Linked DNA regions of Saccharomyces cerevisiae S288C. The protein of the gene in region 2 purifies or fractionates together with the protein of the main gene of each other region. This does not show direct contact. Each region holds a gene or a part of one and is shown on either strand. Other genes may lie near its edges.

Region 1 (3,482 bases), on a different chromosome or scaffold from region 2:
AAATAGGTGCTCACTTCAAAAAATAATTACATAAATAGTATATTTATAATATATTAATATTTCTCCTTTCGGGGTTCCGGCTCCCGTGGCCGGGCCCCGGAACTATATAATATTTAATAATAATCAAATAAAAAATATTTTTTATAAAATAATATTAATAATATATATATATATATGAATTTATATATTAGTTAAATTAATAATATTTATATTATATTATATCATATTAAAAAAGTCCCGCTGGAGGTGAGGCGGTGACCTCGAAGGAATATAAAAATATAAATAATTACATTATTATATTATATTATATTAATATTATATTTTTTTTTTTATAAATATTAAATAAATTTATTAATTATCTTTATAAAAGGTAAATGAAAAAAGAGTATAATGATTATATTATTATTAGTTCCCGCTTCGCGGGAACCCCGTTAGGAGTTTTGAAGGAATAATATATAATAATTATATTTGTAAGAATATTATTATAATAATATAAAATATATATATATAAATTATAATATATTAATTATTGTTAATTATTAATAATATATATATTAATCATTTAGATATATAATTCTATAGCCTTAGACTCCTCATCAGTAGAAGACTACGTATAAAAATAATCAGATAACATCTAAAACATGTAGATAAATAATAGTTGTTTCATATCCAACATGATGTCCAGCTGTTAAATGATAATTTCTCATTCTTCAATAATTAACACCTAACATAGCTGCTAACATTACCATATGTAAGAAATGTAATCCTGTACCAGCATAGAATACTGAACCATAAACACCATCAGAGATAGTGAATGCAGCATTAGTATATTCAATATATTGACAAGTAACAAAAATAACAATTAATCAGAATGTAATTAATAAACCTGATAAGGCTTTATTTCTATTACCTGCGATTAAGGCATGATGACTATAAGTTACAGTAGCACCAGAAGATAATAAGATAATAGTATTTAATAAAGGTAATTCGGTAGGTTGTACAGCTTCAATACCTACGGGTGGTCAACATGCACCTAATAGTACATCAGGACTCATAGCTGAATGGAAATAAGCTCAGAATAAACCAGCAAAGATTAATACTTCAGATAATACAAACATTAAGAAACCTAAATTAATACCTTTTCTTACTGCTATAGTATGATCACCTAAATATGTAGCTTCAGCTACAATATCTCTAAATCATAAAATAGAACTTGTTAATAATACAAATAATGCTAAATATACCATATTCATATTACCAATATAACCATGCATTGTTAATGCTAGTGATAATGCTAATGATAATAATGCAAATGATACTACAATAGGTCATGGTGAAGGCATAACCATATGAAATGGATGTTGTTGATGTCTACTTCTTTCTAAATGTGTCATAAATTTATTGTTATATATATATTATATATATAATATAATTAAATAAATAAATAAAAAAAATATTAATAAAATATTATCCCTTAAACTATATAATAAAATTAAATAATAATATTAATTTAATAAATCTTTTATTTAATAATAATATAAATTATATTAAATATTTATAATAATATATTATTTATAAAATTATAAAATAAATTTATATATAATTCAATATATATATATTAATTTATATATTTAAATTAAATATAATTAAATAAATAATATAATCGAATTAATATCTCTTTCGACCGGATTATTTATTCAATTATTAATAATATAAATAATTAATTTGTATTGAATATAATTTATTTAAATATTTTATTATTATTATTATTATTATTATTAATTTATTAATATTAAAGGAAATATATTTATTATATTATATTATATATATTTTTTATTATTTATATTTATTATTAATATAAATCATTGATAATATCTTCTTTTTATTTATTTATTATTATAATTAAAAAAGAATCTTATATTAATTAATATTATTTATTTTTTTTTTATTTAATAAATAAATATTATTATATTAAGATAGATATAATATTATATCTAGATTTAGGAAATATAGGGTTCGAACCTATAATCTTTCGTGTGTAAAACGAATGCTATACCAATTAAGCTAATCTCCTTTATAAAATATATACTCCACAGATATATATCCAAAACTCTTATTAATTATTATAATTATTATTTTATTTATTTATATATATATAATTATAATAATTCATATAATTATTATAATCTTATAAATATTCCTATTGAAAATTATACTTTATAATTAAATTTATTAATAATTATTTAATTTAATATATAAAATATTTATTTATATATATATTTATATATATATATATATTTTTATAAGTAGTATATTATATTTTATATATAATAATATTTATAATATATATATTATAAATTATATATAATATATTATATATTTATTTAATAATTTTTATATAATTAATATATTATATATTTAATAAATTTTATATAATTAATAAGGTAAATATAATTTAATGGTAAAATGTATGTTTTTAGGTGCATATTATCTAAGTTCAAATCTTAGTATTTACAAAATAAAAAATTAATATAAATTTATTATAATCATTTATAAATTTATTATAATATTATTATTATATTTATTTATTATTAATAATTATTTATTATTTATTATATAATATTTTTATAATTATATATTAAATATATATAAATTTTATTATAATAAAACTCCTTCTTAAATAGGGGTTCGGTTCCCATGGGGTCCCTCACTCCTTACGGGGTTCCCGCAAAGCGGGAACTAATAATAATATATATTTTTATATATATATTAATATATATATATATTTATAACTCCTTTATTGATATTTATTCTTATTTAGAATATTTTTAATTAAATAATATAATTAAATGAATACCAAACTTATATTATATTTATATTTATATTTATATTTCTCCTACCGGGGTTCCGGCTCCCGTGGCCGGGCCCCGGAACTAAATATATAAACTTTTTTTTATAATATTATATTTATTAAAATATTAATAAATAAATAAATAAGAGATATAATATATATTTTCTTTGTATTAAATATATTATATATATATATATTAATTATTATAATATATTTATTATAAATTAATTATTAATTAATATATTATTATTATTGCCCTTAATGAGAATCGAACTACATGTAAATAAATCTTCAATTTATCGCTTTACCACTAAGCTATAAAAGCTATATATAATATAATACTTATTATTACTTATAATATAATATATATATATATTTATATAATAATACATAATATATATATATATATAAATAAAACATAATATATAATATATATTTTTATATTATTAATTAATTAATTTATTACTTATCTTATTATATATATATATAAACCTTTTATAATATATTAATATATATAAAACTTTAATATTATTAATTATTATATTTATATTTATATTTATATATATAATAAATATATATATATATTTATATAAATTATATAATAAATAATAATTATATTTTATTTATAATT
Region 2 (2,794 bases):
GAAAGACTTACCTAAAGTGCCGGTGATCATGTCGACACGGTCCATCACAGTCTTCGCGCCGCCCTTGTCATTGGTCTTTGGGGTAGCAATACCACTTGCACGGTGACTTTCAAAATCACAATGTTCTGCAACACCTGCACCGTGAGGGCCGTACAGGCCGACCGCATGTACTTCATCCAAGAAGGTCAAAGCACCGTATTTGTCGGCCAAGTCGCAAATTTTTTCTATGTCGGCCACTGAACCGGCCATAGAATATACTGATTCGAAAGCAATTAGTTTAGGAACGGATTTGGGGTATGACTGGAGCAGTTGTTCCAATTCGTTCAAGTCATTATGTTTGAAAATGTGTTTTTTTACGTTAGCATGCTTAATACCGACAATCATGGACGCATGGTTGAGTTCGTCGGAGAAAATCACCAAGTCCTTCATCTTTTGACCCAGTAGGGATAAGACGGCATCGTTGGCTACGTAACATGACGAAAAAACTAAGGCACCTTCCTTCTTGTGTAAAGTGGCCAATTCGGCTTCCAGATTCAAAGTGGGGATGTTATGGCCAGCAATGTTTCTTGTACCACCGGCACCACAACCATACTTGTCGATAGTTTTATGCATGGCGTCCAATACCTCAGGGTGCTTGGAAAGTGCTAAATAGTCGTTGGAACACCAAACGGTGACCTTGTCCGCCTCTCTCTGGCGATGAGCTAGGGGGAACTCCTTGGCCAATCGGTTGATATTGTTGAAATATCTGTACGATTTGTCAAGTCTTTTCTTCTGCAGTTCGGAATCTATCAGGCCTTCGTAATCGAAACCCGACTCCTGGGTGGAATGGTTGGCAGCAGCGGCTGCTGCTGCTGCTGCATGTGTTGATGACGCTGTGGCAGTGGCAGCAGCGGCACCAGCACCAGTAGCGGTGGCATAGCCATTTTTCGCATGTGGTGCGGCTGTCGTGGACAGCCTATTCAGTGTGGAAACAGCGGCAGAGGAGTTACCGAACCTCGCAAAAATGGAGCGTTGCATACTGAAAAAAAAACCTAAGTACTGTTATGATTATTGAGGGACAACAACTAGCTCTATTAGTTTTCCTTCCAACCAAACTTATATGGGCAATATATAGGAAAGAAAAAAGAAAAGAGTGGGATAAAAAAAAAAGAAACGCGAGCTGAGAAGGGAAGGCGTGTAAAGGAAGAACGGTTGAGAGACAGCAGAGCAGGGTGCAACACACAACCGAATAGAGTATCAGCTGACGGAATGGAGAAGTTTGGTATGATGCAAACGTTGTATTTCTAACAACGCATGGATCAGAACAATGGGCAAGGCAAGATGAAAAATTTCCGTTCCTGCTCTTTCTTCATATATGAACAATGACCAAAAAGCGCCCGCGGCCGCAGACCAATGAGCGACGAAGGCGGCCTTTCCGAGCGGTAGGGTAAGCCGTGCAGGCAAGCTTATTATAGCACCGTCGGGGGTACCACCACTATATCAAACTCCACTGCTCGGTAAAGCATTGTAGTGAAGTCCACAGCAGTGCGTAACGAGCAGCTCAACAGTTAATATAAAGATGCGTTGGTGGCCGTGGTCAAATCAGACAGAAGATCAAAAGCAGCAGCAACAACCGCAGGGTAAAGCAGATGGTGATCGCGTGCTGACAAATTACTCGCGGGGTCAAAAGATCCTCTTAGAAGACACTCCACCCAAGTTTGCCGATGACTTGTCCAATTCTCAGTTGGCCAAGAAGCAAGAACGGGCTACTTTGAAAGAGGCTTGGGACTCGATCAGATGGAGTGATTTTAGTTTGCAGAAGCTGACTTCAATCCCGTGCTTCAGAGACGCGGGCATGCTCGGGTTTTCCAGCATGTTCTTGATGGGATCTATTATATTTATATACCATAAGAGCCCGACTAAGGCCACGAATTGGGCGATGAGCTCTCTGATACTGGGCTCGATTGTCGGATGGGAGCAATGTAGGCTAAAGAGACAAAAAAGTTTCCAGATCGCACAATTGGCAAAGGAAACCGTGGCGAAAAAGGAAAAACCAATGCTCCATAATGTCCCTCATGACCCATCTCTGCCGGGGCAATGGGAGGCCGCCAAAAATGAAAAGCAGAGTCAGTTTGAACAAAGTAACCAGAATTTATCTCAGGCCTCCTCTGAGAAGAAATGGTACAAGTTCTGGTGAAAAGAACGAGGGGGAAACAGAAGGTAGAAGCAGGGCCTTTTAACCGTTTTCCTATGTATATATGCAACATTTCTCCGAAAATACTATAACTTCAATTGTTCACTTTCTCCATTTCTATATAAAAAGCATACATAGAGTTACAAATTTTATATATTACTTGACTGGTCTTGCATGCCGTCCGTATCGCTGCTGTGATTGTCATTATCTTCTTTAATGGACAATTGTTTAAACGTTTGTGTGGTTTCCTCGGCAGAGTTTCTCGTAGGCGGTAAAGAAAATGAATTTTCTGTTCCCATCAAATTGTCTGTATCCTCATCTTCGCCATTTTTGCCGCCGCCATTGTTTCGTACCCCGTCCTTGTTTGAACTTGACTGTGAATGATTCGGTGTGGATACCGTTGAGGACCCCTTGGATTTGGGTAAAGATGTTTTTGATGTGGAAGGTTGGCTGGTTCCTTCTAGTAGTTCATTGAGCACCACGTCATTCCCACCCGTTTCCTCATCGCTGTTGTATGCTTCTCCAGCAGTCTCTCCATCACCACCGATGGTCCCGTATGGCCCATCTGCTTTTTTGCTGAAGGGGTCGTCTGCATCACAAAGTAGTTCGTCTAGCCCGCCT
Region 3 (3,556 bases), on a different chromosome or scaffold from region 2:
GTACAATCTTTAGGGCATAAGACACATTCGGATCATATTATTGATAAAGTGTTTGTCTCTCGCCCGGCCCCAATTGTAATGCCTGTAAAAGCCCTTACTCCTATTAATCCGGTCTCCCTAATGCAAACACAGACACAAGATTGCTGTAGAAAAAATAAGTATGGCAAAAGCGGTAGTGAAATATTGTTTGACGAAATTCTATCAGCCTATGAAAACGTTTCTACAAGCGATTCTACTGCCCTAAATTCAGAAATTGACAGAATTATCGATATATGCGCTTCAAAACAAATAGCTAAAAAAAATGAGGCATTTCAGGTACCATATGTCGTCTGCCCTGACGACACAGAGACTTTGTTTTCGTCAACAACACCAAAGTTGAAACCTGTCAATTCTAACACATTAAACGATGTCATTTCTAGCCCAGAATACACCACGTCTGGATGCAGTACATACTCTGACCAATCGAATTCAGATGAGGAATTGTCCGAAGTAGAAAGTATAGTATGGAACACGAATAAGAGGACAATGAGATCATCCATTGTGTCTGAAAGCACTAGTGAGGAAGGCTATTGCACTGCTGCGGAGACTTTGCCCTCAACAGTATCAGTGGAAGATCTGGATATACATAACAAGCTTCCAAAAGTTGCACAAACATCATCGTGCAATACGCTTTTGAATAAACTCTCTATAAGAAAATTAAAAAAAGTAATTCTCGATCCGCCTAAAATAATGCATGTCATGACTTTTGACGATGACAGTGATGATGGAGATGACAACGATGACGAGGATAGGGCTTTGAATATTCTTCAAAAAAAAATTGACTGCATTGAAATAGCAAGTTGCAGCAGTAGCATTTACAGCGAATAAAAAAATTTATTCTAGGTTTCAAGTAAAATCATACGTATATAAGTAGAATAATGGCATGAGCGGTGACACATTGTGTATTTGCACCAGAGGTGGTCATCAATAGAAAAGTGTCACAATTTCAACGATAAATGGCCGCTTATGTCGCACCTTTTGTAGTATTACCCGCAAAGGATCATAATGAAGAACTACTATGGCTACATATAAACAGAGCAGTTAGATACAGTGCGTCTTATAAGGGCATTTTTGAGCATAAAGCACAACAGGTTGAACTCAAGAAAACTACATTTCACTATCAATGGCACCCACACAATTGGATATAAAAGTCAAGGCCTTGAAGAGGCTGACTAAGGAGGAAGGGTACTACCAACAAGAACTGAAAGATCAGGAAGCACATGTGGCAAAACTTAAAGAAGACAAGTCAGTTGACCCATATGACTTGAAGAAACAGGAGGAGGTCCTTGATGACACAAAAAGATTATTACCTACTTTATATGAGAAGATTAGAGAATTTAAAGAGGATTTAGAACAATTTCTAAAAACTTACCAGGGTACCGAAGATGTCAGTGATGCAAGATCCGCTATTACGTCTGCACAGGAATTACTCGATTCTAAATAATCTATAGATAACCTTTTTCTTACCTTTTCGCATTTATTTTGATGCAGGTTTTTATACTTTATTATGTACAAACCTGTTGCGGATGAATAATAAATCTCGCTAGAAAATGCACGGAATATTATATGCAAAAGTAGAAAAGTGGAAGACGGCTGTTGATACAGTGACGAGATATAAGAACATTTTACTCTATATTTAAAAAGAACTTTATTAATCTATTTAATTGAGTTAACACCTTTAATGCCATCGATATGGATTCTCGAGTTGCACTGGTACGAAAATACATAGCACCATCGGTGATAAAAAGCGATTCTATTCAATTGCACGGTTTAGTGAAGGCACCACTATTTAAAGCGTTGAATAGCCGTTACAAATTAGGTTCACTACAGATAGTACAGGATGTCGATTGGAATGCGAAGACAACACCATCCGATTCTCCAGAGCCTCTGGCCGCTACTCTAAACTCTAATCGATCCCTACCAATGACTAAGTTCCCCAAGCAGGAGATCTTGGAACAGGTAAAATTGGATACTAAGGTTGGCAAATGGAGGAAATTCATGACAGGTTGGTTTAGAATTGGATTGTATCTTTTAAAAAGCTATAAAACAGGAATTCAGAACACGTTAAAAGTATTCTGGGATACTCGAAACGAAGAGCAGAAATTCAGCATAAAAAACGGTGCATTGGCTAACTTAGTACGGGAAATAGAAATGCATGAAATCAATACAAGACTATCGTCTTCATCATTGCCTACAAGTTCTTCAGCAAAAGCCCCATTAAGGCCACTTTCAATCAATAGGAAAACACTGGTGGAACTGATCAGACGAGATCAAATCTGGAAATTACCTGTATTTTTCACCTTAGTATTCATATTTGAGGAGGTAAGTGTATTGATCTTTACCTTTTTTCCACGTGTCTGTCCGTACAATTGTTTAACTCCTGGTGGATACAAGAAGCTTTCCAACTCATATATCAAGGGAACAACAAGCACACAAGGTAACTACGGTCTGGGTCCCTTAGAGTTTACTAAGCAAGGTACAATTAAGTATGAGCCACCATATGCAGTTCCTATTGAGAATTTGTATAATTTTCTGACAAGCTTTCCTCAAAGTATGATATCAAACTGGAAACTGTATATTTATAAAAAGTTAAAATTACAGAAGCTACTTTGCAATGAGATAGAAAAAATTTACCAGTATCTGTTTATCGATGACTGGTTGCTGTTGCAGAGTATACTCAACACTGATGTTGAGAAAACTAAAATCGCGCTAAGTGATAGAGAATTGGTTAACTGTATACTTGAAAGAAAACTTTATCACATGGGCGATGACTTGAATGAGATGGTTAATGACACGTTAGGGAAAGAAATCTTACTGAAAAGATTGTTTCTTTATTGGACATTAAGATATAATGACACTATATCCTTAAACGGAAAGCATACATTCAGTGAGAAATGGGGTGTCAACAATATATCATTGTTAAAATATAATTCAGAATTGGTAGCTACGAAAGATATTCAATAGATGTAAATATTCATGACATTATCTATGCTGTACATATTGTTTAAAACAAAAACTCTTTTAAACTTTTCTAATTGCAAATTCAAACAATAATTCAGTGATGTTTCTTGCTTTTGGAGCAAAGGGCAATGTTACTCTATATTGTATGTATAATATGATAGATACTCTTCCGTATATATAGTATATAGATTTTCGTCAAGCGTTTCAATTGGAAAGTGAAAGAAAAAAATAAGAAAAAATAGAAAATACAATTAAATTAATCGAAAAAAGAAGTGAAAATAATTGAGTAGTTCGTATTAAACCTTGTAGGTCTCTAAGTGAGCATTTTCCTCCCTAACCAATGTATGGTGATGGCCAGGCGCTCTAATAACTTTATTTTTTGAATCCATGGTACAGGCAGCAATGGCGGCAAACCATTCATCATTAAAAATATCATCTAAGGTTGCTCTTTTCTTTGGATCTACTTGCAGTATACGGGACATGATAGGTCTTGAAGCATGTGGTAGTAGACGTAATAGACGGTATGGGCCATGAATAATTTTTTTATGGTGAGGTC

The links.
Region 1: the proteins of COX20 (region 2) and COX3 purify together in Saccharomyces cerevisiae (affinity purification with western blotting; 2 studies listed by BioGRID, with this or other methods). This does not show direct contact.
Region 3: the proteins of COX20 (region 2) and PNT1 purify together in Saccharomyces cerevisiae (affinity purification with western blotting; 2 studies listed by BioGRID, with this or other methods). This does not show direct contact.

The regions. Positions count from the first base shown.
Region 1 is NC_001224.1:77,125-80,606, reverse strand, and holds COX3 (cytochrome c oxidase subunit 3), read right to left. Parts: upstream 1,395-3,482; coding exon 585-1,394; downstream 1-584. UniProt on the Saccharomyces cerevisiae protein: Component of the cytochrome c oxidase, the last enzyme in the mitochondrial electron transport chain which drives oxidative phosphorylation.
Region 2 is NC_001136.10:925,675-928,468, reverse strand, and holds COX20 (Cox20p), read left to right. Parts: upstream 1-1,558; coding exon 1,559-2,176; downstream 2,177-2,794. Other genes in the region: HEM1 (5-aminolevulinate synthase), read right to left, coding at 1-1,017; IVY1 (Ivy1p), read right to left, coding at 2,323-2,794. UniProt on the Saccharomyces cerevisiae protein: Involved in the assembly of the cytochrome oxidase complex. Required for the maturation and subsequent assembly of the mitochondrially encoded COX2, the precursor of subunit 2 of cytochrome oxidase.
Region 3 is NC_001147.6:819,292-822,847, forward strand, and holds PNT1 (Pnt1p), read left to right. Parts: upstream 1-1,731; coding exon 1,732-3,003; downstream 3,004-3,556. Other genes in the region: DSE3 (Dse3p), read left to right, coding at 1-867; RBL2 (Rbl2p), read left to right, coding at 1,163-1,483; putative serine/threonine protein kinase HRK1, read right to left, coding at 3,297-3,556. UniProt on the Saccharomyces cerevisiae protein: Probably involved in mitochondrial export. Confers resistance to the anti-pneumocystis carinii drug pentamidine. May act by the removal of pentamidine, or its damage targets, from the matrix by an active-transport mechanism.